4 linked regions of the Lepisosteus oculatus genome follow. The protein of the gene in region 1 interacts with the protein of each later gene in a biochemical or structural test. Links are inferred from orthologs where the notes say so. Each region holds a gene or a part of one and is shown in the gene's direction. Other genes may lie near its edges.

What was found.
Region 2: of the proteins of cdk1 (region 1) and usp16, one has a biochemical effect on the other in vitro, tested with the Homo sapiens proteins (3 studies listed by BioGRID). The link is inferred for Lepisosteus oculatus from reciprocal best matches to the Homo sapiens genes CDK1 and USP16.
Region 3: of the proteins of cdk1 (region 1) and wee1, one has a biochemical effect on the other in vitro, tested with the Homo sapiens proteins (5 studies listed by BioGRID, with this or other methods). The link is inferred for Lepisosteus oculatus from reciprocal best matches to the Homo sapiens genes CDK1 and WEE1.
Region 4: of the proteins of cdk1 (region 1) and foxm1, one has a biochemical effect on the other in vitro, tested with the Homo sapiens proteins (2 studies listed by BioGRID). The link is inferred for Lepisosteus oculatus from reciprocal best matches to the Homo sapiens genes CDK1 and FOXM1.

Annotation. Positions count from the first base shown.
Region 1 is NC_090699.1:23,136,635-23,144,471, forward strand, and holds the start of cdk1 (cyclin-dependent kinase 1), read left to right. Parts: upstream 1-4,835; 5' UTR 4,836-4,938; exon of another isoform or gene 4,939-4,942; intron 4,943-6,187; 5' UTR 6,188-6,192; coding exon 6,193-6,229; intron 6,230-6,453; coding exon 6,454-6,610; intron 6,611-7,245; coding exon 7,246-7,369; intron 7,370-7,604; coding exon 7,605-7,775; intron 7,776-7,837. UniProt on the Homo sapiens protein: Plays a key role in the control of the eukaryotic cell cycle by modulating the centrosome cycle as well as mitotic onset; promotes G2-M transition via association with multiple interphase cyclins.
Region 2 is NC_090700.1:19,387,263-19,394,318, forward strand, and holds the start of usp16 (ubiquitin carboxyl-terminal hydrolase 16), read left to right. Parts: upstream 1-4,050; 5' UTR 4,051-4,316; intron 4,317-4,771; 5' UTR 4,772-4,809; coding exon 4,810-4,870; intron 4,871-7,056. Other genes in the region: rwdd2b (RWD domain-containing protein 2B), read right to left, coding at 26-272, 1,627-1,989, 2,210-2,277, 3,234-3,440. UniProt on the Homo sapiens protein: Specifically deubiquitinates 'Lys-120' of histone H2A (H2AK119Ub), a specific tag for epigenetic transcriptional repression, thereby acting as a coactivator.
Region 3 is NC_090716.1:9,577,781-9,585,537, reverse strand, and holds the start of wee1 (wee1-like protein kinase), read left to right. Parts: upstream 1-4,756; 5' UTR 4,757-5,405; coding exon 5,406-5,870; intron 5,871-6,660; coding exon 6,661-6,872; intron 6,873-7,218; coding exon 7,219-7,285; intron 7,286-7,370; coding exon 7,371-7,543; intron 7,544-7,634; coding exon 7,635-7,757. Other genes in the region: znf143b (zinc finger protein 143), read left to right, coding at 1-148, 563-709, 2,255-2,338. UniProt on the Homo sapiens protein: Acts as a negative regulator of entry into mitosis (G2 to M transition) by protecting the nucleus from cytoplasmically activated cyclin B1-complexed CDK1 before the onset of mitosis by mediating phosphorylation of CDK1 on 'Tyr-15'.
Region 4 is NC_090702.1:9,289,160-9,297,070, reverse strand, and holds the start of foxm1 (forkhead box protein M1), read left to right. Parts: upstream 1-4,904; 5' UTR 4,905-5,063; intron 5,064-6,108; exon of another isoform or gene 6,109-6,384; intron 6,385-6,979; 5' UTR 6,980-7,029; coding exon 7,030-7,504; intron 7,505-7,911. Other genes in the region: rhno1 (RAD9, HUS1, RAD1-interacting nuclear orphan protein 1), read right to left, coding at 1-557, 3,868-4,041. UniProt on the Homo sapiens protein: Transcription factor regulating the expression of cell cycle genes essential for DNA replication and mitosis. Plays a role in the control of cell proliferation. Also plays a role in DNA break repair, participating in the DNA damage checkpoint response.

The DNA of each region.
Region 1 (7,837 bases):
CATGGCTGAAACATTGTGTTTTCTTTCTTCTCTTTTCAGCATGGAATTAAACTATTACTTGTTCCACGTTTAATGTAGTTTACGGATTATTTCTCCTTTTAAGTACCTAATAGTTAATAATACAGGCTATTTCATGAATTATTTTTTCAACCTTGACTTACACATACCATTGAAAAATAAGTTTGCATAATCCAGCACCTTTTAAAACCTTTCAGGCATTTTGCTTTAAAGAAACAAGTGTAAGTTTAACACTGTGGGTTTGTTTCATAACCACTATTTCACATAATTTTAGATAATTCACTATTGACATTTATATTAAGTAACCTCAGGCCACCATATAGAAAATATGACCTGAGGACATCCTTATCCTTAAAGTCAACTGCCCTTGGAGAAAAACCTGGAAAGTAAATTAAATATATAAACAAACCGAATGAGCCAAATCTCCAGGGAGCTTAGTTTTGGATTTTAGCTGACATAAAAGCAAACTCACATCTTACTCCCACCCCTTAAATCAGTCTTTCAATGTACATCTAAAAGACAAAAAAAAAATGTTATTGTAGGTTCCAACAAGGCATCTGATAAAGGAACAGTAAAAAGGAGACTAATGCTATCTGAATGCCACTGCCTTCTTTATTTTGGGAGACAGAGGGTGTGTGTCTAAGCCTACATGAATAAGTACTCCTAGCAAACAGCTCCAGTAAATTCACAGCATCCATCATCTGAAAGAAATGAGATCTTGAAATTAAGTGTTTTTGTGACCACTACTTGGTCTATCTGCAATTTTCTTTTCATATTATTTGTTTTTTGTAAGTCCAACATATCCTGGTTTTTAATCATTACAATAACAGTAAGAGTCACAGTAAGAACAATTTATACTGTGTATAGCAATTGAATGTACACTGAAAACTGCTTTACATGTGTCAATATTTACCGATCAGAGTTAGTATTAAACTACCCACTATTTACACAGATGGGATGGTTTATACAGGTTGTAAGATGAAAGGTTTTATGCAAATACATTTACTATATGGCCTACAAATAATATAGCAAAGGTGCAAATTCCCTTTCCTTTTTATGAATGACACCAAAATGACAAATTCTGGAAACCTGTAGGAAAATTACAAAATGTAAATGTACATTTTGTATAGTCTGTCAGCCTATATTTTGTCAGCATTATCCCAACCCAAAGCTGTTGAACTTTATGCCTAAGTAAAATTCTAATTACACCTTCTACAGAAAGAGCAGAATGGTAGAGGACTCTTGTAAAGCCATTACTCTTATACCGACACAAAAGTTGACAATAGCTGGAATGAAAATGCATCCTGACAGTTTTGTTATAGGTATGTGTAATAACAGATAACCGATATAACATCCTCTGAATACAGCAGTTTCAATTCCACAATTATGGCTATATGTAACAGAAGACAGATTTCAAAGAGGTCTAAGCAGGAGAAGTCAAACTAAAATTCACATAACTTAATTTGTAGACTAATCAATTAGGTCTGAAGTCCAAGGAATGATTTTACTACTGTAAAACAAAATGTGAAGACAGGAATTATCAACTTATTATGAAAATGAAGCAAGCCCATCATGATCCTTCCTGCCTATTGAATAGTTTTACTGCCTTGTTAGCCACAGTGGCTTTCCCCTGTGCAGGAGTTAGAAATTAAAATGGCTGTAGTAATCCATCAATAAATACGTAAGAGCTCCTGTCATGACAATGTGGACTGTAACATAAAAAGACAAGTACAAAAGAGTTTAGAAGATCTTAAAGCATCAATTAACATTTTAAACGAGTTTGTCTTTGAATGAAGTTGCTAAGTCTCAATGACATCTTAATGCCTTCTAACAATATACCTAGAACAGCCTGGATCAGGGATTTTTTCTTGTCTTATGTATGTACAGTCTGAGCCTTGATATTCCTTGAAAAAACTAATGCATTTTTATGGGTGCACTATACTTGCACTGCTTCCCGGCATTTTGCAAGTGGATTCAGCACTTTATAAGGGAAAATGTCCGTCTTAATTGGATACACTACCACTACCATGATGTGGATAAAAAAGTTCTGAAATTATTGGGCAACTGCCATCAACTATGAGGGAAAATGCACACAAGAATTTTTAATTACCTTCAATAGTAAGCATTAACATGTCCATTACCATCACAGAAAAAACTTGAGGCACTACCTCACAATAAAAACAATCTCATTATTGTCATAATGGAAAACTAATGATTACTGAAAAATGGTATTTCATCATGACAACAGTTCAGGCCAGCACCATGCTGAATTAAAACAAGAGCCCATACTTCAGTTTAATAAACCTTTTTTTCTGGTTAAAAGTCAAGAATGCAACAACATGTCAGTTTCCGTGTTTAGTACGATTCCAAAGCTTTAAAAGCTATTGTTTCAAGACACCCAGGACTGTACTTTCCTACTTTGTTTTTGTTTATGCAAAAAAAAAAGATGACTGCCAAAGATGACATTTGGCGCAATTCAATCTCATTAAAATGAAAGCCTTTGCACTTTCCACCTAAAGGATTAATCATTTACTTGCAATAAAACTATATTCAGCTTCAGAGTTCAGTCCAAACACAGGTGGTCTAAAAACATTCCACGTTCACGTTACCAGCGTCGACACCAATCTAATCCTGCTGCTTTACCCGAACCCCAATCAACGGCAACACCCAGAAGTACTGTAACTGTCAGGTATACTGAATTTGTAAGCGTGTCCCCGAAGAACGAAATGTATTACCTGCAGCTAATTGAGCCGTGCAGTCAATGCAATTAAATACCATGCTGTTTAATAATCACAAGGCGTTCTTCTTAAAGACTTCGCACTTCAATAAAGTGTGGACACTTCGACCAACCTGTACACTTACTTATTTAATGACATGTGTTTACAAGTGGGAAACTGCGGGCGAGAATTGATATCAATCCATGTGCCGCAAAACAAGACTAAATCGCGAAGGCTCGGTTGCTTTACACTTCTGAACAAAATGTATCCTCACCTGTGCAGTATCGCTTTCACCACCTCCAATAGGCGTGGAGGCCATGTTGCTGAAGCTTTATCCAGACCGGACAAATTTGAAATCTCGTTTTTTTAAGGGGGTGGTGGCGGTGCAGCAATATTGCTTCCTGCACAGCAAAACCCATAAACCTTTAAAAAGTTGTTTTAACTCGTTGATGAGACGGAGCTTTCGACTGTTCCAAAGCCCCGCACGACCCCCCCTGCGGCGCGCTGTCTCGGAGTCCCACACAGGAAAGTTTTGCTCGCTGCGCAGCCGAGTCACACAGGTAAAGTCCACTTGCTGTGCAACTTGACTAAGGCGGTCTGATCAGAGCCTATTGAGATGGCGACAGTGGCAGTGCCATTAAGGCTACAAACCGCCCGCTGTACTAACTTCACCGCAGACTCGGTTAGGGTGCGGCACCAAGGTTACTGCACTCATAGGCTGAAGACCTCGCCGACTGTTGCTCTTTAGATAATAGAAAACACAGCGATAATACTACTGCAGCGTTCAGAAGCATAAAATGACACCATGATTATATTGAATGATTTTTTTCTGATACTAAGTGTTATTGTATTAAGTGTTTAATGAATAAGTATACATTTATAAAAGCCATGCGGAAATAATTGTATTTAACATTTGATACAATATGCCCTTCCCAATACCACTGTCACAATCTTGCATATAAATGCCCGCACTTTCAACACCTCAATTAAAAACAATGTCAGATTGCATTGTTTTCAACTATTAGCACACTTAACGTCTATATACACCAACTAAGCATGATTTTAGTCTGCAGGTAATTTTAATTAATACAATTTAAATATACCTCTGTCTGTAACCTGACACTTTGGCCAGAAGAGGGTGTCAATATGGTTTTGAATCTGAAAACTACTGTTTACATGAAATAACCGGTAGGGCCCGAGTTGCCTTTTGATAAATCACGGTTCTGTTCCCAGAACAGGGCTGCATTGTGAGATTAAATGGTTATACGAAGAAGGAATGGGCTTCAACGCAACTTGCTGAGCTTTACTTTGAAAAGTCGTTACGGGTTAATTTGCACACAAAAAAGAAACCAAGTTAAAAACCGAAATAAATTTATATTTCTAATGTAATCACCTTTTACTTAGAGCCAACAAGGTGAAATGATAAGATTCCGGTTCAAATTGGAAAACAAATGTTCCGTCTCCAATTTCCATCGCTAACAGAGGAATTTCGTTGCCAAGAATGCAATGAACCCTGCACAAGAGAGAAATGCAAATACTATTAATAATTTAGAGGAAAAAGTACAGTTTGTCAACACATTCACAAGAAGGTTGTGTGCAAAATGTCATTAACTGTGGTTTTCTGTCCTTTAAAGTGTTGTCGCGGCTCTATAACATTTATTCAAACATTATTGATAGCATTTCCATGTTAATTTAAGTAAGCCCTTTAATGATACTAAAAGTTATACTGTATATGAAGCCTAAGAAAATATCCGTCTAAACATACTCGTATCCTTTTTTAATCATTTCCCCAACCACTACATGCAAATAAAAAAGCAATAAAAAATGATTATAGTGTATAGTGAAATGTATCATTAAAAAAATACATGGAGAAGTGAAGGTTTACCTGGAAAGTACCGTGCACAAAAAAACATCTACCACCCGCAAACGATATAAGAAACCAAAAATCCTGGAAACACTGTGTGGTTTCCAACCGGGCCCGCCCGCTGCTTTTTTTTTTGCTCATCCTCTTCCGCCGCGCTTTAAAGTCGTTCTCCCGCCCCTAAGACATCCGCCTCCCGATTGGCTCTTTTGAAAGTAATCGAGCTGCCCGATTGCTTGGATTTGAAAGGCAGCGGCGCGGCTAGTTTGAAAGCCCAAAGCTGCTGTTTTCCCCCGGACTGCTGAGTCCAGTGAGAGCGGCGCAGGAGTTACAGCCTTGGGAGTGAGTGCGTTCTTTACCAACTTTTATTGTACTGTTTATTTGTTTTTCCCTTTATATAATCTTAATGCAGAAGTGTGTGAGGAAGGGGAATTTAAGAAATGGGTTAGCATTAAAAAAACGACCCGATACGATTTCGGGTGATCCCGAAGTGTGAACAATTTAAAATAGTGTGAAACAGTTTTTATATATGCATGCATCTTTGGAGAGCATGGAAGGGCACCGGATTATATTTCTTGAGAGGAGCGGTTCTGTAACTGTCTAGCCGAAGCGCCGATGGTAGGACTAGGCCCAGGCTGTATTTGGTGATAATGTACAGTACACGGGTAACCGGCTCGTTAAAAATGTCATGAGCAGGTTCTGGGTCTGCTTTTTACAGGCCATAATCGATACGTGACAAAGGCAAACTAGACAGAATTGAGAATCATTTGCTATTAATTCTGTCTAGATAAAAACAAAGATGCAGGACCGTGCTAACAGGCGTTGCACACGGTAATTATTAACGGTAATTATTTTTTGTATATAAGATAACGAGCTGTCACCTAGTGTTCGACAGTTTCGCATCGTAGGTTTGGCTTGTTGAATAGTCTTATTAAAGGAATTATTATCGCCTCTTATCGGCAGCGAAAAGGCAGGAACGTGGTTCGTCTCGTTGTGGAAGGGAACATGGTCATGCACACGGACAGGCTAGGTCTGCATGACGCTTCAAGACACGTTTACATTTAAAAATAGTACCTTTACTCTTGTCATGCTATTATTTGCTTGAAATACAGACGTTTCCAACTTCCAATCTCAAAAATGACATTTAGCCAAGTAGTGTAAGTTGTCAGGGCACGACCGGTAAGCCCTTTTTCATATAATCACTGCTGGAGAGCGCCACCTACACAAGCAAACACTTCGGTTTAGCGGCTGTGAAATAGTTTCCAGTGTGACGAATCACAGACGTCAGAGTCTTTGTATTTACAGTCTGGCGTTTTTGTCATCAAAATCCTTTGTATAAGAGGTTTTCAACGCCATTGTTTTGAGATAATACGGTTACCAAATCGCCTAGTGTTATTTTCGGTAACAGTAGCAGCTGGTGAAACCAGTTTCGGTAAAATGTCCTATGTTTTGGAAAGTACAATGAAACTGCGTTTATCAAACGATAGAAAGCGACACTTCTTCACACAGCATAGCAATGTTATAGAACAGACAAACCGGTGAGCGACTTATGTCCAGAGTAAAACGGTGTTCTGTGTATATTTTCTTTCAGGCAAAATGGATGATTATGTGAAGATTGAGAAAATTGGAGAGGGTAAGTGTATGCAGACATTCTGTCCCTGGAAAAACAGGTGCAAGCTCAACCAAAACTGTGCTTTTGGTTTGCAAACTGTAGGAAAAACAGTTTTGTTTTGTATAATGCTATGGTTTTAATGGTCTTGTTCACCATGCTTCTTTCTTCAAGAGGGATGTTTGGGCCTGAAGGCTCACTGGCACTTCCCAAGACACTGAAGTTGTGTGTTTTGTTAATTTGTGCAGGTACCTATGGGGTGGTTTACAAGGGTCGGCACAAGACCACTGGGCAGGTGGTGGCCATGAAAAAGATCAGACTGGAGAGTGAGGAAGAGGGAGTTCCCAGCACAGCTGTCAGGGAGATCTCCCTGCTCAAAGAGCTCCAGCATCCCAACGTGGTTTGGTAAGTTAACGCATGCAGTTGTAAAACAGTTCAAACCAGGTGGTATGGTTCTCTGTACTCTGTTCAAAGTACTCTGCTCAGATTACTGTGGTAAAACATCCAATATTCCAAATTTTAGGCCTCCTGGATAAAAGCTTTAGCTAAGCTATAATCTGGCTGAGACGTCAGTTTGCATTTGGACCCGTTTATAGAGCTGGGCATTTTACTGAAGCAATTGGGTGAAATAACTTGCTTAAGTCTCCAACCACAGCGTCTCATTTTGGATTTGACTCCAAAGCCTACCAGTTAAGACTCCAGTACCCTGAGCAACTGCTGCACACTGTTTAATTAACATTAACACAAGACATTGGAATAGAACACCCTTATTGTACGCATGTACTGTAAGTGGAGTTCTTCAAATTGATTGTGCCCCACATACACACCCTCCTGCTTTGTTTTTTCAGTTGTTACTTAATCAGACCCTTAAGTGTCAGTGATAAGTATCGGAATGTGTACAACCAGGATTCTTGTTTTTCTAATCCTTTCTGTCCATCCTGTATAGTGTTATGCAATATGTTATTAAATCAGTAGTAATGAAATATTGAGAGCTTTTCTGTCCTACTCCGAGAGGATTCACTAGATTTTCGTTTCCCCAGCCTTCTGGATGTCCTCATGCAAGAGTCAAGGCTTTACCTCATCTTTGAGTTTCTTTCAATGGACTTAAAGAAATACCTGGACTCTATACCTTCTGGTCAGTACATGGACGCGATGCTGGTTAAGGTATGGCACAATTCATGGCAGCTTGGAAGGGTAGTCTTAATTAAAAAAAAAACTAGGCAGTAATAGTGTAATCACAGCTCTTTGTGATTTCTTGTGCTTGATTTCAATGTTAGAGGAAGGCACTACTTTGTATGGATCCTTGTTTTTCTAATTGTATGCAGTATGTTTTCATTTGTTCTTTAAAGTTAACATTTTCCAATGTTTTTATAAGTTATTGTTCTTTTGTTTCCACCAGAGCTACCTGTATCAGATTTTGCAAGGAATACTCTTTTGCCACTGTAGAAGAGTCCTTCACAGAGACCTGAAACCTCAGAACTTGTTAATAGACAATAAAGGAGTAATAAAGCTGGCTGATTTTGGGCTTGCCAGAGCCTTTGGGATTCCGGTGCGAGTTTACACTCATGAGGTAAGGGAGAGTGAAGGTTTAACCTTCCTTTCTCTCTGTACCAAAGTCTTATTACAGTAAGT
Region 2 (7,056 bases), on another chromosome or scaffold:
TCATATACAAAGTGTTTAACATTAACTACCTTCCTTCAATTCCAAAGTAAAGCTGAAAAACATCACCACAGCCCTTCTCACTCAAAAAATGATAGAGCTGCCCAAGGTCCATGTGATTTCCCCTGTTTCCATGTGCATCAAATATCGCTTCCTCAAACACAGTGAATCGACGATGCAAATCAAGCTCTACGTGAGTATCGACGCCATCCCTGTCCAGAGGAATGTCTTCCCTGTGGCGAATCATGATTCTTTGCCACGTCAAACGCCTAACCCTAGGAAATAAAGAACAGAAAAGAACCCTCTCAGCATTTATTACAAAATGTTAACCATTTTGTACAAGTCGATGGGTCTGATGAGCGTTGCTACCAAGTCATGAAACCACTTCAGTCTAGAAGGGGTTTCCAAATTCTCTGTAATTTCACTGACCTGAAAGCAAAAATACATGTAAAATGCACACATTTCCAGAATATTTGCTGCTAAAACAAATATATTTAGAAATAAATAACGTTAATGATTCAAGACGGCAAGGATCATTCCCACTTTCTTCTGCATTATCTATGAAGAGACATAATTCTGGTGTGGTAGAAGTAACAGCTAACTGTCCAAAATCACTGGTCATGTAAGACTTCTGAGCAGCTTAACTAGTGAAGGCTAGTCCAGTGCAGCTCCTCCCCTCTCGATTCTGGGCTATGTTATTTCCAAGTGGAATTCTGTCAAATGGGTTTGTATTTGCCAAGGTGTTCTTGGTTGGTCTTGTTAAATCTCTACTAAGCAAGGCTGGGTCTGGTCAGTACTGGGACGGGAGAGCTCAAAGGAAATTACTACAGTAAGTGAATTTTGTGGGCAAGCAGAATTTTTAAACCAGAATCCAATTGGTGATTGGGTGCCATTGTGCAGTAGGCGGTGCTGTATTTCAGACGAGACATTAAACTGAAGTCCCATCTACTTTGTCCCAGAAAACATTCAAAAGAGTAGGGGAACTAACCAATGTCCTGGTTAAATTCCACCCTAATGTTCCTCCTAAAGTTTCCCTTTGTGTTAAGTAATTTGTGTTCTCTGTCTTTATCTAATCTGAGTGCTGAGCAGGGTAGCTGGCACATAATGGCTGTTGTACCTCAGTCATGGATTAAATCACCCCTGCATTACGTAACATTTTTATGATCTTTTAGGATTTCCTTATTAATGTCTGCTGCCTGTCATGTTATCAGTAAGAGCCGCATCAGGCCACCACTTTTTGCTTCTGCTCCTTTAGGTGCCAAGGGGCTCAGGGTGACACAGAAAAGCAGATAATCAACATGGCTGTCATCTCTCCTACACTTCTATAAAGGTTTTATGTCAAGGTGATGGACTATCTGAGATTTCAATTTTGTTGGAATATTGAAAATAAGAAAAATACCCCAAATGTAAAAAACTGCAACAAGAACTCACTGATTTGTTTATTTTATGGAATTCACGCTGCTTTCAAGTCCTCCTCTCCTTGCATGCATATTCAAAACAATGTTCACAAGCAACAAACCAAGTACGCATCAATATTGATTACATTATACATTACAATATTGATTTGGACAAGGCTTAAGATCTTTAGTGAATGGCTCTTTAAAAATAAATTAAAAAGATTAACTATACCTTGCCCAAAACTCCTCACAAGCAGACCGGGGTCCTTCAACACACACGACACCAGGCTTCCCAGGCATGCTGAACCCAGTTAATCCCAGCTCTTTGGACCAGTCCAGAATATTCTTCCTCTTCTGCTTGTTGTAAATGTGATGGCTGTAAATCCAGAGCCTCGAAAACATATTTTCTGCCACCGAAGAATCCACCTGCTTCTTCAGAGCTGAAGTTGGGTTTTTATTAATATAGAGATGAGCATTGTCCTTAACCCATTCAATCGCAGCCAACACACAGACGTCCCCACAGCAGGTATCATTCAAGTATGCATTTAGATCTGTATGTAACTGAGTCTGTTGTGTCCTATTGAGTTCTGAAGACCTAAAAAGAAAGCACAATGTTGGAAGGGTAAGGGTGAATGGTTATAATATTACTCTGCATATTATAATATATAATACAGTACATATATATATACACACACTCTGTATATTATAATATTACTACTCTGTACCTTTCATTTTTGTACTTGTTTCTTATTATGTATGCATTACCATGATTTAGTTTTTATCCTTTACTCAACACCCCTTTCTTCAATACATACCTGACCGTGATTTCTGGTAGAACTGTGGGATAGGTTACAAGATAGGAGCAGGAGATTGAGAAAGTCACCTGCAACAAGAAACAGCCCATGGAATATTTTCCGTGCCATTACAGCAAAACCATCTACCAACATGGTAGAGGCAAGAGTTTCTATTAACAACAAAACTTCAGAAAGATAAAGGGTGGATGTGTAGAAAGAATTAAAGGCTGCCTCAGCATGCATAGGCTGAAAAGGAACAAGTAAAGGTTTATTCCATACTGTAGAGAGAAGAAAAGAAACAGAATGTTTCGGCTGTGGAACCTTCTTCAGATGCAGAAACTTTGTGTTTCTTATATTCTCTTTTCAGAGTGGATGTGTAAACTAGGATCCTGAAGAGCTACAGTCCAGCAGGTCTCATAGGTCACCATTAAATAATCACATTTGAAAAAACTTCTAAAGTGCATAATTTTGATCAACTCAATAAACTAACTGATTCAGGAATTTACAACTGTGGTTCTTGTGAGTTATGAGGTGTTAGCATTTTCATTTCCCAAAATTTCTCAACCACTTAGTCAGTTAGAATTTCTCAAACTTTATTGGTATATCATAATAAAATTGTTTGAAGTGCTCAAAACATGACTGGACGCTGACCCAATATAACCTGCTGGGTTGTGTCTCTCCAGGACCAGGGCTACCCAACAGTAATGCATGTTAGTGCCATCCTCTTTAATTCCCATGAAAGTCTGTACCCTGCTCCTTGCCTTTAGGATATTTTCTGCCATGAAAATGAAGCTAGATGCAGATTTAACAGTTATGTACCTAGAATATTAACCATGGCTAACAACATTTATTTCAGTCAGCAAATATTTTCTCAAAATGGATCAGTGACAACTGTACGATCAAGGGCTACTTGCAAATTGTGCTTTAACCGCTGTACACTAACAGGTTTAAGGTGAAAACAAGCTGGTGTCTACTTGTTCCTTATTGGTACAATTATGCAAGCGGAAAGAAGACAATGTCTCATGTTGCAGTGACCAATATTTACCAGGTTCTCACTGTAAATGTCCAGTTTTTGCTGTATGGTAAACTGAGGCCTGGAAGTGGGAATGGCATTTGTTCTACCTTCAACATAGTCTCTGAGCTCTGCTAAAGCCAGCTGGTCATCAATGACCAACTCTTCCTGACTAGGAAACATGCTCAACAGCAGCTCAATTTCAGAAAGCTGTTTGCCTGCTTCTTCTATTCCAGCCATGTCTAAATTATCTGCAATAAGAGAAAAACAGACACCGACTTGATTTTAATACATGAAACAGGAGAATTAGCAAATCTGAGGTTTCAGGGGAATGGTATTATTAGTATTAGTCATAATACTATTATATTATACTACAAATGCTAATTTAAAGACGCTAAAGAAATACAGTTTTGAAGATTCGATAACTATGCAGATACAAAATCATTTTTAACATATGTTTCAAGTTTAAAACATTACGAAATGTGAAATACTAAGATAATTATACCCAATAAAACGTAACAGTGCCTGTGACAAAATTATACATACTATCATTGAGAACTTTACTGCGGTATTAATGCTGTTTTTATCTTCTTATACCTTTTCAGTTAACACAGTTATTATATAATTAAAGGCATGGTTCTATGCTTTATGCAGAAGTCATAAAACATATCAAAGTTGAACTTGATTTTCAAAATTGTGAATTACCTCAGCGGAAATGTATTTTTAGAGCCACTGTAACTAACATTTCCCAGACACAATCAAAACAAGTCCACGTTTTGACGTTGAACTGATTCCGGGATCATAGGAAACACGTGCTCTGTCTATCAGTATGACCCCGGATATGGGAAGCGGCTCACGTTACACGTTACATGTATTGCTGCAAGTAAAACCATATGCTGGTCTCAGCGTAAATATACCGGTGTTTTGCTAGCTTTTGTGTTTTATTTCTGTTAGATTTAGTACAAAGGATTTGTATTTTTCTAGTTTAAGTAGTTGTCTGTCAAGATCATACAGTACTTTTATTTACCAGCAAAAGTGTACATGCGAAATCTATATACCTAGTATTGAGGTTATAGTGGGGATCTCAGTCTTACTGTGACTGATCATTTTAAGCAGGTAATGATATAAGATGTTGTAAGGTTACAAAACACTCAGTTTTCTGCTTTTGTACTTCAAATACTTATCATGTGTGTTCTACCTCGGTAATAAAGTTGATGGTATAACGAAGTGAGAAATGGGATTATCGCTGAACAGTACGAGAGCACTGTAGCTAACCCAGGAGATGATTTCTGATAATACTTCTTGTGCATGTTAAGTGATATACACATACGTCTGAATATTAGTTTCTTCTTTCTTAGAAATGTTTTTCTTGCGCAGTTATCCCATCAGACATAGTTGTAGCAGTAGACAATTTAGTTCATCCAAAATGAGTATCATAACCGTATTGCAGCATATTGTTAGAAAAAAAGTAACGAGAAACAGTATGTGATCATTGTATTGTATCGATCTCGTGAGTTATTTTGCAAATAGAGCAATCGAAAGCCAGCTTTATTTTCTTTTTAACTTTTTAGTTGTTCTTTGTCACATATAGTCACCCTGCTGGAGAGTAATGGGTAAGAAGAGAGCAAAGGAAAAACATCTCAGAGATGAAGATCCAGTTGACGTTACAGGTAAGAAAAGGAAGATAACTGCAGAGTAACTGCTACTTACATGTTCACATCTCAGTTGGATCTAAACTGTTAAACCTGTCTGTCTCTTAGAATGTTGTTGTTTCTACTAACCATAACTTTCTGATCGGTATGTTTGGTATTCTTATCTTTTAATATGTGTTGTAGGTCTGTGTTGAATCTATCTAGCTTAATTTAAATGTGTAACGCGCCTGTTTGAAACTGCAAGTACTTTTGATTCAGGCCTTTGCTTTTGTTATAGTACTGAATAGAAGGTAATTTGTACTGTTTTCCGTTAAAGATGTTTTAATTACTTTGATGGAAGTAATTTACATTATATTTTTGTAACAAAGCTAGACATTTATAGTAAACCCTTGGTGTAAAGGACTTCAGATTCAACAGACAAAATCTGCTAAAGGGGAATTACATAGGTAAAATCCAAAATTCTGATGTTCCCTGCAATAATGTTGAAATGACAGAATAAAGCAAAGTTCAAATAAATACTATATGTTTGAAATTCAAGAATATCAGCTGTGGTTTATTGTGGTAGGTTAATTGCTTGCGATAGGTTTGTGTTTCTAATGATTTAGCAAATTTTATACAGTTTGTTTATGACAGAAATAAAGAACTTGCTTATGTATATTCAAAGGCTTTATTAACAATTTTCATGGACTGCTGATTACAGTTGATAAAAAAGTCAAAAGATCCAGTAAGCATATAGTGTGTATATATACTGTATATATGTTTTTTTTCTCATATAATAGTGTGTTTTGGGGCTGAAAAAGTCATTTGTAATTTACTAGACATTCAACAATAATGGACACCCCTTCCCTGAGGGTTTGCTGTATGTTCTTAAATTTGGACCCATTTTCATGTGACATCCCTTTAAGGTTTGATAAAGATACCCCAAAGGACTTCTTCAGAATTTAGAGTGAAACATAAACCAAGGGTTACAAGTGGAAACTGTGGGCAGTGCACTTAAAATCAAGAACAAGAAGCACTTCTTTATGTAAAGACTTGTGGGAGTGACTAACAAGCTACCCAGCCATAATACTCTAGTTTCTTTGAAAAATAGAAGCAAACAATACAGATGGACCAAATAGCCTAATCTGTTTGTAACCTTTCTTATGTTCTCATGGTATGTTCTTAATTAAATCCACAGTCATTTTATCGTTAGGTTTGTTTAACTGTCTTGATTGTGAATTCACATTTGACTGTTGATATTGAGTTCATCCCTTAAAGGAGATGTCCTGTGAAATGCTGTTTGAGCAGAAATAGACATGTTTAAAATGTACACTTAAGTCGTTTTTAAAATCTTTGTATATTGAGTCTATGTGGCCCATCCTTCTTACTCAATTGTGGGTAACAAACAGGTCCCAGATTCCCTTAAAACTTTCTATTGACAGATCACAGTGTGTCAGATTCAAGACTTTGACTGCGCAATGTATAAAACTACAGTGCCTTGCAAAAGTATTCAGAGCCTTGACCAATTCTCTCATTTTACCAAATTACAAATCCTACGTTGAAATTTTGTTCTCTGTGATATTTTTATTTCAAAACATTGAAACTCAAAAGTAGTTATTTTAATGTGACATTATGTTATGTTGCCAAACATTCTTAAGAAAAAAAAACTGAAATATGCTGTTTGCATAAGTATTCAATCCCCACATTTTAATATTTTGTAGAGACACCTTTTGCCTTTTGCAGCAATAACAGCTTTAAGTCTTTTGAGGTAAGTTTGTACCAGCTTTGTGCACTGTTCAGGAGTGATTTTGGCCCATTCTTTCAGGAAGATTTGCTCCAAGTTGTTCAGGTTAGTCAGATGACGCTTGTACACCGCAATTTTCAAATAGTGCCACAGTTTTTCAATTGGATTGAGATCAGGGCTTTGACTGGGCCATTCTAAGACATTCACCTTTTTGTTTTTGAGCCACTCCAATGTTACTTTAGCTTTGTGTTTGGGTTTATTGTCCTGCTGAAAGATGAACTGTCTCCCAAGCTTCAGTTTTCTAGCAGACTGAAACAGGTTCTCTTGCAGTATTTCCCTGTATTTTGTACCATCCATTCTTCCTTCTATTTTAACAAGATGCCCGGTCCCTGCTGATGAAAAGCAGCCCCATAGCATGATGCTACCACCACCATACTTTAATGTAGGTATGGTGTTTTTTGAGGTGTGGGTAGTGTAAGAT
Region 3 (7,757 bases), on another chromosome or scaffold:
CCAGGCAGACATGCAGGCCCTGGGGAACACTATCACAATGGTAACACAAGATGGCACCACCATCACTGTCCCAGCGCACGAAGCAGTGCTGGCTTCAGGAGGCACACATTCTGTCACTATGGTAACTGCAGACGGGACAGAAGGACAAGTAAGTTTTCTTTTTCTAATGTTATCACGTATTTCCAACTTTTCAGTATTCCTCAAAAAACATAATATGGCTAAGAAACATGTCCAGAGTTCTATATTTAGTTGGCAGATACAGAAAGAATTCAGATTGTGAACCCTAAGCTTACATTAACAATCTTATTTGGAGTGTCATGTGATACACAGACGGGCAATAGATTGGCCATTGACAATGGACAATGGTGTCTTTCAGAGCAAATTCATTGTCTCTGTGTACTCTTCTGATAGAAGGTTGATTGTTCAGTAGAAGGAAAGAGATAACAGGACTGACTGGCTCCGTGTTTTCAAAATACTGCAGTCCACATCGTTTTCTGGGAGAGGGATAAGGAGTGTATTTTAGTCATTTCTTTCCGACTCAGAGCTTTTCTTTTATTTTCAGGTTGCTATAGTGACTCCAGATTTAGCCACATTCCAAACGTCCCAGACTGATATGACCCAGGAACATCATGAGCATCATCTGGTATCGGGCAGCCCTCACCCAGTCACACTTCTGGCAACATCGAACGGCACTCAGATCGCAGTTCAGGTACTAGAAAGAGACTGAAAACATCCCAGCAACACTCCCCACAAGGGAGCGCACCCTGACTGCAGGCAACTGTTCATTCCATGCCATTTTCAAGACGTTGAAGAACTAGCTTGTTCCCTGAATGTGTGGTGTCATTATTACTTCATTCAGTTCGAGTGACTGAATTCACAGATTCTTGTTCTGCTGAGAAATAAAGTAGGATTTTAAACTCTTCATCTCTGGTGTGAAAGCACGGTGCGCATGATTTTCACTTTGCTCAGACCACACAATTCTACTGTCGCAGGAAGAGTCTGGAGGAAGCAGGATAATTGCCTGTGTTTTCCGAACTGTTATGGTGGCCCATAATTCTAACAGCCTGCAGACTGGCATGTGGATAGTGTTCAGGTCTCAACACAGCCTTCTGCTTGCCAAGATGGCTTGCATTAAACTGATTTATAACACATGGCTTCACATTAAAACTGACAAACAAGAAGTTGGAAAGCTTATCACATTACCCAGAAATATGCGCCCTTAAACTTGGCCCAAGAACTAACACTTAACGGATGCAGACTTTTCAGAAAAGTCTTAAAGTTGTTTTCTTAATTGTTACTTGCAGATTCTGGGAAAACTCATCTCCTTATTTTTAACTTCTTGTCTCCAGTACGAATAAAAACAGGAATTAAAATATGTATTCATTTAATACGTTTTCACACAGGACAAGATGTTGCTATATCTTAAAGTAGTGAAAAGGCTGGAAGATGAAGGAAACAGGATACATTATTTGCTTTTGGTATAAATCTGTGAATACATTTTCCACTGTATCCAATGTAAAGCGCAGAAACTATTTCTTTATAAACACTAATTATGAATATTACTGGTTTTGAACACATTTTGCAAAGAAATGTGCCAAACGTATATCAAATTAAGTTTCACCAAATTTAAAGATTTTTTTTCTATATTACAAGCTTTTCACTTATCACTCTTTGATGCAAATGAAGTCTGTTACACAATAGCCTGTGTAAATAAACCTTGTAGGACTAGACTTGATTATTATTCAATTCAATTAAAGCTTTATTGTCCCCTAGGGGAGATTTGTTTATGGAGTCTTGTTACATTCAGATCATTCAGCTAGAGACAGATTAGTCTGCTGCAGTTTATCATTATCAAATTTAAGTTTTACAGATAAGGGGTGATCTGCGTTTTTTATTTGATGCTTCTGTGTCGATATTTTGTCTCCTAACAATCAGTATTTCTAGTTTAAATTAACTACACCCGAAGAAGGCTCCATGGCCGAAACGTTGTGTTTTCTTTCTTCTTCTTTTTTTTCAGCACGGAATAAACCTATTACTTGTTCCTTTGTAGTTTAGATTAAACCTACTATACCTTATCAGTCATATTTAAAATGCTCATATTTTAGTTTTCTTTGTTATTTTTTAAAAACTTGTTAAGTATAACAAATGACTAAAGTACAAGTATAGCCTTAATCAAACTGTCTTGTATATAAGACTTGAAATCTTTCTTTTCAGAAGTCAGCATTTGTATATGATTACCCTTTTTATCTTTTAGCTGAGTGAACAACCATCACTGGAAGAAGCCATTAGAATAGCCTCAAGAATACAGCAAGGAGAAAATCCCGGAATGGATGATTAATACACAACTTGCATTGCCTTCCAATGCTTCCACAAAAAATGCTATCAGAGACTGTTCAGGAAGAAGAAAATTAAAAAAGCAAAAAATGCAACTAGCTTGCTCACCGCTATTAATATTAAAGGTCAAAACCATGAATTTCTCTTGTAGATTTTGTGTATATATATTTTAAATAGGGGGGGGGGGGGCATAATTGATCACTTTCCTGTCGATCGGAAATGTTCAATTCTCTAATCTAGAAGGATGGATTAAATCCCAGAAGTTCTTTATGAAAATCGTGCTCTTTTGTATGCCACATTGTACTCAGGACATGAATGCGTTTGGAGCTACAGATTTCCACTTTCTTTCAATTACATGTTTTGGGAGTTATAGTCACTGTACTGTGTATATATAACCTGCTAATGGTTTAAATTTCTCTATTTTACATTTGATTATGTATAAATTCTTGGTTGTGCAATATTAAAGCAGTACAATCCATCTGAAACCTTGCTTTGGGTCAGTTCCTAGTTAAGGTTGTTTGAATAATAATTCTTATAGAATTATTGTCCTTAAGAAGAGAACTATAATTGAACACCCTAAACCACAAAGTCAGATCAAACCTAAAGAGGCACTTGCTATACTTTTTGTGATAACTCAGGTTTTTTAGATTTTTCACTGCAGCACTTTATGTATAATTTGTTCCATTTGTGTGTATATTTATGTTAAAAACTGCAGTGTGTTTAAAAAATCATTATGTGTATAGAAGTTTAATATTTGATTAAATTTCTGCTGGGCAGGAAGCAATTGACCATTTTTACAATCAAAAGTTTGAGGTTGAACAGAGAACATGTTGGTAACATTTGTGCTGTACTTCAGAGAGTAAGAATAACCTCTCAAAAACTGTGAAAATGAATTGCTTCTACAAAAACGACAATTTTTAAACTAGAATTTACCTTTGCTCTCCTTTAAATCATATTCACCACCATAAAAGGCTTCCCTAAGCGCAACTTGCGCAATATCAGAAGAATCGAAGATACGATTTAACACGGGTTTAAGAAGTCAAATCCGATTAAAAGTTGGAGCTAATCAAGTGAAGTAGATAGTAAGATCAACACTGCTTATCCGAGTTATCTCGCTCACAGGCAAGACGGCCATAAATGTCGAAACAAACGCCTTAGCAAACTGAACGCTCGAAAGCCAGACACAAGGCAGAAACGCCCGATGATGTAATGCGGTGACATCATAGTTTAAAGAGCCACCTGTGGCGGAAAAAAGGTACAAAAGACATTTCAATCACAACGCCCTTCCGAAACTTAAATGTAAATGCCTAAATTAGGGCGTGTGAATAGAAGACTTTTATCTTCAATTACCCTTTTCAGTAGTCTCTTCATTTGTGTATTTTTTTAATAGTTACAATTATTTGAATTAAATATTCAGAACACAATGTAGTATTTTATACTGTGAAAAAACTAAAACAGTTGCCAGTCATCGTATTGCCCCAGAACTTTTTTTTAAGGACGTTCGCGAAATGTTTCCAAATTTACACTTTGGTTAATTGTATTAAGTGTTTCGTTATTTTTAGATAATTACCAATTAATCTTAAAACGTTTAGGATAAAACAAGAGTAATTTATAAAAAGGCGGTCCCTGAAAAAGAAATCTCCATTTACAGCCTCCTGTAACATGACTTCACGTTTGTCTTAAGAATCTGGCTCTACGGCAGTTGCTCGTATCACGCTTAAATTTTAATTTGAGGACTACAAGAGTATATTGAAATATTTTTCAATTAATATTTAAACCTCCATGGGAGTTGTTGTTTGAATACTTTTTTTCTCTTTTAAATTGCACCTTTCCTTGTGTCATATCACGAAGTCCCATACAGGGTTAGACTCATAAAACATACGAAAAGGTTTTGAACGCTCATCGTCCTTACACACCGAGACAAGATTAGTCTCCTCATGTACATTACTCCTAATGATCATTCTTATTGACTGTAGTGATTCTATCAAGAGCAAGAACATTAGATCAATAATAAACATCCTACATCGATTTAAAGCTTGCTCCAGTCCAGCAACAACTATATAATCTGCTACAAATATTTCCTTAACACTTCCTAAAGGGACTGATTTGAAGAGCCTTCGATGACGCTCTAAAAGACAGTATCCAGATACATCATAAATTCAATAATTTATTTTAGAGCAGTTCTTGTAACCGAAACAACGGCTCGTTGGCTCGGACATCCTCATCATTACAATCGGAAATGCAGCCTTCAATAAAACCACCCTGCGCAAAACTACAAGAATAACCCCCTCCCCCTACATACCAACAAGATCGCGAAATGTTCGCGCCAAAATGACGTGCAGTGTCCAGCCCCTGGGTCGGTGACGTAACTGCCCGTGTCCAAGCGCTGCACCGCCCAGATTTCAAACTTGCAGCTCGGGCGCTGATTGGCTGGGACGGGAGTCATTTGACCAACGGTCGCGGGAAGCCGCGTAGTGGGCTGCGGAGAGGAGTGATTCGAATTAATTCAGTAAACAAACGCATGTCGGGGTAGCGGCAAAAAAAAAAACACACAACTTTTTTGGGGGGTTTTGTTTGACAAGTGACTGTTCTCCGGAAAGCTGATCAGCTTACTATCTTCCAGAGGAGAACGAAAGGGAAAAGAGGAGGCTTCCTCGAACAGCCTGGTGTAGCGCAGCGAGCAGGAGTGGGAGCCGTGCGTGCAGCCATTTTCCACTAGCCGTGTCCGGCCCAGGCAGGGTAGCGAAGCTCCGCCTGCGGGCTCGCCGGTGGGAGACCCAGGGGAAGAGGGACTGGACCAGCGCCGCGCTGACGCGTCCGAGTCCGCTGGGTGCCTCGGGGTGACAGGGCTCCGGTTGTGTGGGGAAGCTCGGTGACCCGGCGCCGCCGCTGAGACCCCCTTCCAGCCGCGCCGCGGACTCTGATCGCCCGGGGAGGGTCTCCTCGGGCCCGGTGTTCTTGTGAGCCACCATATGCATTCCGGCTCGGATCGGCGGCCAGCTGTGTGTTTGTCTTAACTCCTGTGTGCCTGGCTGAGACCCACCGGGCCTTTTTGCGCGGTGCAGGGGGAGATGAGCTTGCGCGCTGCCTCTCCGAAGATGGGGCCCATCCGGCAGAAGCTGCAGTTTTCGCCCAGCGACGGGGAAGACGACCCCGTGGAGGAGGACGGCAACAGCACGGGGGCGGACTCGGCTTTCCAGGAGCTGGACTCGCCGGTGCAGCCCCGGCAGAGAGCGGCGAAGAAGAGGAGCGAGGAGCCGGGGGACAGCCCCCGACGCCTCCACGGGGAGGAGGAGGATTTCTGGGACGAGGAGGGGCTGGGATCGCCGTCTCCCGTGAAGTCCCCCGGCTCCTTCCTGATGGAGTCCCCGTCCCCCAGGAAGAGCTCCTCGGCCTGCCGGGGGTCTTCCCCGGGGGGCGCCTACGGCCGGGAGGAGCGAGAGGGCTCCAGCTCTCCCGTCCCGGACTGTCCCGACACGCCTCCCCACAAAACCTTCAGGAAGCTGCGGCTCTTCGACACGCCGCACACGCCCAAGGTGAGCGCTCTCGGGCGGAGCGGCCGGGCCGGGGGCTCCGGTTGTTTTGATTCGAGCGGCCGGCTTGTCGCTCGCCCGGGCTCGGGAAGAGACCCCCGCAGCCTGTAGAGAGACGACTTCCCAGATTACACAGCTCCGCGCTGTGTTGGCTAACAGCGGTCGGACGCTTTCTTTTTTGGACATCTCAGTCTCCTTTTTTTTTTAAAGTCAGACTTGTTCACTTGGGTACTAACGAGAGAGTTTCATGTGTCGGACCGGGGCTGCAAAATCTAGCTGCGGCACATCAGGGGGAAATTACTTCGCTAAAGTCGTCTTTTTTTTTTTTGCTAGACGGTTTTTAACACCAGCACCAAACACGGGTCTCATCAGTTAGTTCAGGAATCCCAGCGCGATTCAAGCTCTAGCAGACATTTGTGAAAGGCTCGCTTTGTTGCAGTTTTTTTTTTGCCGAGTCAGCCTTGTCCAGGTGACCTACTTAAGCGAGTTATAAAAGCTCCATAAATATCTGCGGTTAAAGGCTGAAATTGGTCTCGATCGCGTGATTCATGCGATCCCAGGCATGTCTCAGCAAGTGTAAATACACAGCTGTCTGCAGACTTATTAAATCGCCCCTTTCACCCACTGCTGTTGGAATTTGATGGTTGCTGCTAATAGGCTAGCGCATGTCTTAGGGGCAGAAACGAGATAGGTCTGTAGGAGTGAACGGGGGGCTGTATTTTGGGGGCGTCTTGAAACGAGTCCCCGGGATGGTCTGTTTCATGTCCTGGCTGTATTTATCCTGTACTCGCAGAGCCTGCTGTCCAAAGCCAGCGCCCTGGGCTCGGCGTCCGTGCGCCGCCGAGGGGCTCTCTTCAGGACCGCGGAGCCCCCCAGCAAGGGCGCCTCCGGGGGCAAGAGCCAGCAGCCGCCGCACATCAACATCAACCCCTTCACGCCGGACTCCCTGCTCATCCAGTCCGCCGCCCTGCAGAAGAACAGCAGGAAGCGGACCCACTGGAACGAGTAAGACTCCCCGGGCGCCTGCACAGAGCTTCACCGGACATCAGCCCATTCTGAAATCGATGGCCTTTGATTTGGAAACTTGGCTCTAAAAGTTAACTGGTAGTTGCACTGTGCATTGCAACTTGGAAGAAAATCATTGCTTTTACAGTTACTTGGTCTCCCATTTGAAGGGGTGTGTGGAACATGACTCATGGGTTAGTTTTGTGTACCGGGCTTCGTTATAATCGGTTGGCAAATACACGACCGGAGCACGTGTCGCCTGAGTCACCACGTGCTCTCCAGAGCGGAAGTGCTGCCCTCTAGTGCCGTCTGCTCTCACTAACTGCGAGTTTTTTTTTCGGTTTAGTTCCTGCGGGGAGGATATGGAAGCAAGCGATGGAGAATTTGAAGATGAGCTCTTTCCCCCGTCTAAGGTAGGTACATACACCTGAGCAACCGATTATCCAGATTAGCCTTTGGGGTAAAAGAATGTGGTACTTAAAGTTTTTGTTTTAACAGAGGATTACTATAACTGAAAGCAACATGAAGTCCAGATATGCAACGGAGTTCCATGAGCTGGAGAAGATTGGGTCTGGAGAGTTTGGTTCGGTGTTCAAGTGCGTGAAAAGACTGGACGGCTGTATCTATGCCATAAAACGCTCCAAGAAGCCACTGGCCGGTTCTGTTGACGAGTAAGTGCAAATGTTTTTTTTTGTTAAGTGTTTTGAAAATAAGCAGAGATCTCTGATTGCAGTGTGAGAAAGTTTTGGGTTCTGTTTCCAGGCAGAATGCTCTCCGGGAGGTCTATGCTCATGCAGTGCTTGGACAGCATCCCCACGTGGTCAGGTACTACTCTGCCTGGGCAGAAGATGACCACATGCTAATCCAGAATGAATACTGCAATGG
Region 4 (7,911 bases), on another chromosome or scaffold:
GACTCTGTGTCTGTTGGGGTTGGGGCAAAAAAGATGAGCCGCCCTGCAAGGTCACTGGCAAAGTTTTGAGATTCACAGCTCCTCCTGCCCCCACTGTCTGCTCCCGGGGTATGAAGGGAAGGTGGGGTGGAGGCACTCTCCATGTCAGAGTCTCTACAAGCTCGAGGTGTCCCCTCAAGGTCTCTTTCCATCTCAGGCACTGGGGTCCTCCGAACCTCACAAACATCACTGCTGAGTTTGCGTGGGTTCTTTTGAACCCCATTCAGAGATTCAAACCCTCTATTTACTTCTAAAGCCTCGTTTTTCTCAGGAAGGCCAGTCTGGCAAGAGCCCTTTCCTGCGGAGACTGCAAGCAAAGGCTGCTGCGGTTGGCAGGGTGCCTCAAAACTGCACTCAAAAGTTAATGAGGGGAACTTGCAGACGCTGGTTTTCTTGGCCCGCACTAGCGAGCTCCTCCCCAGCACACTCCTCTGGTGCGTGAAGCTGCCTGACTGCTGTCTTTTCCTCCGCCGCGCCGGGAAGTGCAACTGCATGGTGGTGTCAAACTGAGAAGTCACCTGCCAGTGCAGACGAAAAGACAACAGATGTGTAACATCAGCGGCATCTCGCTAGTGTACAGAATGCTGACGCTGAAAGTGGAAAACTACTTTATGCTTTGAATACACTTTTTATTTAGCATTCATGGTGGTAGAGCAATTATTCCCCCCTTCTCTGGGGTCATTCCATGACAAATCACTTTTAACTCAGATAAAAAAAAAGCTATCTATGGTGTTTATGTTAATATTGTAAAAGATCACGATTTAAAATTGGATGTGCAGCTAGACTGGATCACCAGTTCTGACATTTCAAAGAGTAAGATTAAGAATCTGTGCATACAAACATTCCTATTCAGGAATATACAGAAAGTACCACATTGATGGCATTAAAATCATGATGTCTAACCATGAAAGAAAATCCCCCCCCCCCATGTTAAAGACAACTCAGAAAAAAGGAAGAATAAAGCTTAAGATGTTCTCTAAACAATTCATTTCAGTTTTGATCTTCAAGATCATGAAATATTTGTTCTTCTACAAATATCTTTTATGGAATTTGATGTTTGACCATAACTATTCTAGGGTAGTCCACTCCCAATATTTAATAATTTAGCTAAAGTCTTTGTGAATTGTGAACCATTAATTAAGCATGCCAGATAATACTCTGGTTCCTGGATGTTGTCAAATTGCTCTGAATTTCAAACTATTATCAATCAAGCAGAAACTGACTTCCTGTATTTGCACCTCTGCCTGATTAAGTCAGTGTTTTTTAGCATACAAGTGTACAAGATACCATGAAATAAATCAGCCAGAAGTGCCAATACTGTGAATTTGAATTACACAAAGCTGTTGTGCATGACTCTCCTACCAGCAACACCGGTTTAATATTCCACTGTACTGTACTAATACAGTGAATAATCAAGAACTTTGTCTCACCTTTCTCAAATTACCCCACACAGAAAATAATGGTCCTCCTGCAATGTCATTACTTTGGATCACAAGCTTTGGTTCAATTAAAACACTTCCAATAGATTCAGATAAACAGCTATGGACTAATTGACTCTCTGTGCTATCTTGACAGTTTCTGAGTAAGACCATTCATGCCCAGTGTACTATAGCACCAATTACTGCTATAGACTAGCAGATGTGAAGGCAAATGAATCTGCTGTTTTTCTCACTAAACTAATTTTCACCTCTGTGGGATGTCAGCCTGGAGTCACTGACAAGAGAGTTGTGTATACTGGGATCCTTCTGACAAGCTGCACTGGTAAATTCAGATTTCAGACTTCATACCAATCTTATGAACACTTTATAGAAAAGATAAGGATTGTGAAGCCCTGCCATTTGTGTACTCTGATTCTTATTCCAGTCGCACCTCAAACACTTCACCTAACCGAGTTCTTAATTAAATTAATAATTTGCTCAATTAGACCTCTTTCAACTGTTTGTGACAATTCTGATCTTGACATCTGTAAACATTTAAGAGAACAATAAATCAGCTTAAATCAGTAAGTTATCAATCCAACAAAGAATTCAATTAAGTCATTGGGAAATCAGTTTAAACACAAGACACTCCTGTGTTGAAGGACCAGGATGAATAGCCCTTCTTAAGGCCAAAAGTATTTTACTAACAACATCATCCAATTGGTAGTGGTTTCATTAATAGCTGTGAAAACTGCATTTGAATTTTGTGCTTTTATGAAAGAGTACGATACAGTGCTCTCCAAATGTATTGGGACAGGAATATAAAAACTATTTTTGCTTTACAGTAAAACAATTAGCATTTGTAATCATGAAATGAATATGAATTATAGGTGCAATATAATATTTAAGTGTGTTTAAGTTTTGGGTAATTACATGCATACTTATTTATTATATTAGATGAAAACATACTCCACGTTCAACCTAGGGATTTCAATTGACCCTAAATACTGGAACACATTCGCTTAGGTAAATTTCGCTCAGCAGCGCCTTTATTTCTTGAGGTGCCTCAAGCGATGGGGGATGCAAACACATGTGTTGGTGAACTTCTACCGCTGCACTATCGAGAGCGTCCTCACCAACGGGATCACCGTGTGGTATGGCAACACCTCTTCGCGAGAAAGAAAGGCACTGCAGAGAATGGTCAATATGGCCCAGAAGATCATCGGCTGCGGTCTCACCGAGATTAAACAGCTCTATGAGGACCGCTGCCGTGGTAGAATTCTGGCCATCACAGAGGACAGTCACCACCCAGGGCATGAGCTCTTCACCCCACTGCCCTCAGGCAAGAGATATAAGAGCATACGGACACTTACCACTAGATTCTTCAATAGCTTCTATCCACAAACAGTGAGACTGGCGAACACATTTAGCCATCCCCCTCGGACCACACCTACACCATCACCATCTACCTCATTGTAATTTATTAATTGTACGTCTCCAGTCATTGTTTACACGTCTGTATTGTTTATATTCAAACTGTCTGCATGTTTACTTGCACATTGTCTATTGTTTGTTTGTACATTGTCTTGATGCACTGTTTGCACTTTGTTTTGTTTTTTACACTTGTTTTATAATCGAGAGACTTTCTGTAAGTAAGAATTCCATTGTACCAGTACCGGTTACATATGGCAATAAAGTTCAAGTTCAAGTTCAAGTTCAGTATAAAAGTCCGTATTTGGCTGCATATCCATCTGAGCCCACAACTGCATGAAGCTTGTGAGCCACTGAGCTCACCAACCTCTTTAATTATCTGAGATCCTTTACATAGCTTTCACAGCAAATATTTTGAATTGTTAGCCGTTTTTGGAGTGTTCAATTTTACATGTTTTGTGCAGTATGTTAAATCATGCTCAGTTGAATTTAAATCTCATCCCCTGTCTTCTCTCCCGATGAACTCCTTAGTTACACTATCGATATCTTTTGGGTCATTGTCATCCTGCACAGTGAAGCCTTGCGCAGTACAGTATTTGTTCTACATATGCTGTAAAAAATGCTTCTGTACACTTCAGAATTCATTCTACTGCTGCCATAGTTGCAATTTACGATTGACTGTAAAGAACAAGTAACAAATTTGACTTTACTTTGCCAATACTTTTGGGGACACTGTATATAAAATCCATGTATTAAAATAATGTTTTAAGAACAAGCATTTTAATAGTTTAATCGGAATTAAAGTTCAGATGAATTAGCCGCTACCAAACAAACATGCTAAAGGGTCTTAGGTCTTTTGTTCACAAAGTAACTTTGGGATGTTATATTAAATAATTGTTAACAATATACAGATCAACATTCTTAACAATTAGTAATAAAACAAATCAGTCAATACATCATTCACGTATGGTTTCATTACCCATTGCTCGCTGGTTGTGTTCTGTTCGCATGGCTGAGCTACAACTCGTAATGGGTTCACAGCCGATTTGATAGGAGTCCCGTATTGGTGTTTGGCTCCATCTATTGGACGTTCCTCGAACAGCAGCGGAGGCTTCTTCAATTGGGTGTAGCTGTTCTTCCCTTTACGGGGCATCAGAGGCCAGCCATGATCGCCCTTTGCATTAAAGAATGGATAGTTATATTCATTATTTATTAAAAATGGTGTAAATACCAATTAATACAACTTGAAGTAAATAGGCTGGTTAAGGGATTATTATAAAATTTAAAAAATATTTTGTAAAAAAGCGCAAAATGTACTCCCTTTAAATGACAAAAGGACTCATGACTTACAAAATATACAATACTTAGGCTATAAACACAAAAATGTTTAGATTTGTGGGCATTCTTCAGTAGGCAGGTAATTGATTTTAGTAAAACATGGCAATAAGATTAAAGTAAATAGAGAATCGCCGGAGCACTCTGGACAATAAAGTACTAATCACTAATGATGTGTGTGCAGATCTCGATTTTCAAAGTCACTTAATTTCAGTAATATTATACTGGAAATAAGGAAGTAGGTATTGATGCCAGATGACGAGTGTAAGTGGGCCGAAAGAACTACTATAGTGAACATAATTGACAGTCACTCCACTTCCAGTTTCGGAATATAAAAACTACTAAACTCGCATCATTTTAGTGTTCGTGAAAGCTTGATAACGAATTAAACTAAAATACAATATTTGATAACCTTAGTCTGACACGCATACAACTAAAGGCTGAATACTCACGGCTCTATTGTCCAAAAAAGTATTCCCATGTATCAAACGATATCCACATTTCCGTTTCTAATTTTTCTTGTTTGATGTCCCTGTCTTGTGTGACACAGTCCAAAGTGAAACCTGCCAGTCGCGCTGATTGGTCCGCTAAGGAATCGCGAATCGGCTTTCCCTGTCTCTCATTGGATGGTATCAGATCACATGACCGGAACGAACGTACCAGCGCCAAAATTCAAAATCCTACTGTGTCTGAATTAGAAAAAATTCAGGCTCGATATTTTTTAAAATGGTTGCGTAGAAACGTGTTGGAAATAATAACTATTTAATCAGTCTACAAAGGAATTGTTGCGTTTCGGCGCTGGAATCATAACTTCAAAAAGAACAGTCTTCTAATATGAAGGTAAGCTTTAAGTCATTGTGTAACTCGTAACGCTTTGTTATAAAATAATATGGAGGTCACACATTGCTCAGCGTAACAGATAATATACATATAGAAATTATGTTTTGGGGAAAAAATCACACTGAAAAAGATCCTGAAAGTTAACATCACATTCGTCTGTGTTTTCTGAAAAAGAAACTGTCTACTATAATGTGATGAGCGCGTACGCGTCTTAAGAACAAATAAAGGTTACAAATGAAAGCCACAAATAGTGTAAAGTAGGGTATTTTAACTTTTTTTCCGTTGCACAAACAAGTAGTAAACAATTACTGAATCAATTGAGAAACACAAACTAGAGGACACAAGTGAAGCTAAGGGGAAGTAGAACAGGAAGCACTTTTTACACAAACGTGTTGTGTGGGTCTGTAACAAGCCATTATGTTGAAGGTGATACACTAGCTTCGTTCAAGAAACCGCTTCACGAGATCCCGGGATCAATTAACTCCAATTCAAGCAATAAAACGAACTAATTATATAAGTATCTCAAGCAGATGGCTTTCTCTAGCTTGTCACAAGTCTTATGTTTTTAAAGTATCCTGCTCTCAACTCAGGGTTTGTTAAGGTGGTTCGTTGTCCTAGAAAGTACAGCAAACTGGGTAAAGCGGAGACATGACGGTTGTAAACCTCTCGACCACTGAATGATGGGTAGCCACACCTCTGTATATGTATTATTGCGATGTAATATACAATATTTTTAAAGCAAAACATGAGAATTTCGTTCACGTTTCCTGTGCGCGTCAGACCCTGCAACATTACTGCCGTTTTTATCGAGGACTTGCAGTAGGGGAGTCCGAAGGCATTTTGAATTGTAACTTCTTTAGGACAATTTGTGATGTCCATAAATAGAATCCGGCTGTAATCTAAACAAAAATATCTACTATTTTAAGAATTAATACGTCCAGATATTTAATCGGCACCCGATATTTTTGTACATAATAAGGAAACGCAGTCCCAAAATCAGTTTAACGGCTTTTCTGTTCCAGAAGACTGCACGTCACAAGAGAGGTGACATTTGAAACAGAATTTCAATCGTTACTAAAAGTCGCTTGTTGATTTCAATTTGAACGTGTCCTGTGACTAAATCAATCGAGGTTGTTTTCGTTTAATTAGCATCGTTCGGTTGGACTGATCTGTGCTCTCCTGGAAGTTCTTGTCCAAGTAATGATGCCTTTTGCTTAAAGCGCACCGAAAGACAAAGATAAGCAACGTCTCAGACCAATAGAACAGGAAATATACCCAGTGCGCAGCAGCTTTTCAGATATAGTACCGACAGTGGAGACAGGTAGCCTAGTCTTAAATTGTTCTTTTTGAAAGTTACTTGTTCAAGTCATTTTGTTGTTCTCACCAAATAGAATTTAAATACCAGATGCATTGTTTAACACTGTGATCGTAAATTGTTAGGATTAATTTTTAAATATTGCATTTTCTTACTTTTGATATGCACTCCCTTTTATTTAGTGAGAATGATTATTTGATTAATATCTGATTATGATGATTGAATATTAAGTCGTTCATTTAATTTATCCTGCGCCGTGTTTTACGAGTAGGTAAATCGCTGTGGGATTATGGGATTGCGAATTATTTGACACTTCCATGAAGTTCCGTGCACAAATTAAAGTCATTGTGCTGTTCTTAGAGGGGACAGCTTCATGGAGCTCCTCATTGTGTGTTTGTATTTTTGCAATCTACATTTATCGCACTAATTGCATATGATTGTATTCCAGATATAATAAAGTTAAATATGATCTTGATTTTGACATCTTTATTCTTTCTCAGGATTAGGATTTTAGAAGTGAAAAAAACTCCATATCTAAAGATTTTGTCTGATTGGAAGCCTATTTAATTGGCTGTGCTAAATGCCTTTTTTATTTTTTCAGAAAAATAAATTTTGCAGAGAGATTTTCAACATCAATACTGCCTGATCAGGATGAAAGAGAGCCCAAGGAGGCCCTTAATCCTTAAAAGGAGGAAGCTTGCCCTCTCTAAGAAGGAGGAAGAGGTTGGCAAGGATGAGCCTGATGGAGCAAAGCAGAAGTCAGACGCCTGCAGTGGACAGCAGTTCCCTGCCGGAATCCGGATCATGGATCACCCCTCCTTGCCCAACACACAAGTGGTAGTGATTCCAAAAACAGCCAATCTTCAGAGTGTCATAGGGGCCCTCACTGCCAAAGGGAAGGAATGTGGTGCACAAGGGCCCAATAAATTCATCCTGCTGAGCAGTGGAGGTGGAATAGAGGATGGGCCTGTATCCTCCAAACAAAGCCGTATTGTTGCTCCTGAGGGAGATGGGATTTCCCCAGTCCCCCTAGGTCCGTGTGGGCAGCTAGAGGTGATTAAAGAGCATCAGGGGGATGAGAAAAATCAGTCCACATCAATCATGCCTCTAACAGAAATAAAACCTAGTAAGTATTTCTTGGTGCAAGCTGTCAGTCAGCATGTTTCTTTTCTACAGCAGCAGCTGTTCTGTGATTGGGATTTCTTTCTCGGGCAGGAGAAAAAATTGCCAAGTTGTAGGGTTAAATAAAATAAGTGCCGGTTACTGTTTGAAGGTAATTTTGTGGAATTGAGTTAGTCATTATATACATGTAATGTTGAAAATCAATATTAAATCAAAACTGTTTTTTTTTCTAATGGATTTATTGGTCTGGGAAACTTCATTTATTGCCATATTAAACCGGTTCACTTTAAATATATTGCTTTCACCATGCTCTCAAACTAGGGAAACTTAAAGAGAACAGGTAAAGGTTTATTCCATGCTGAAAAGAAAAAGGTTTTGGCTGTGGAGCCTTCTTCTGGTGACGGAATTAAG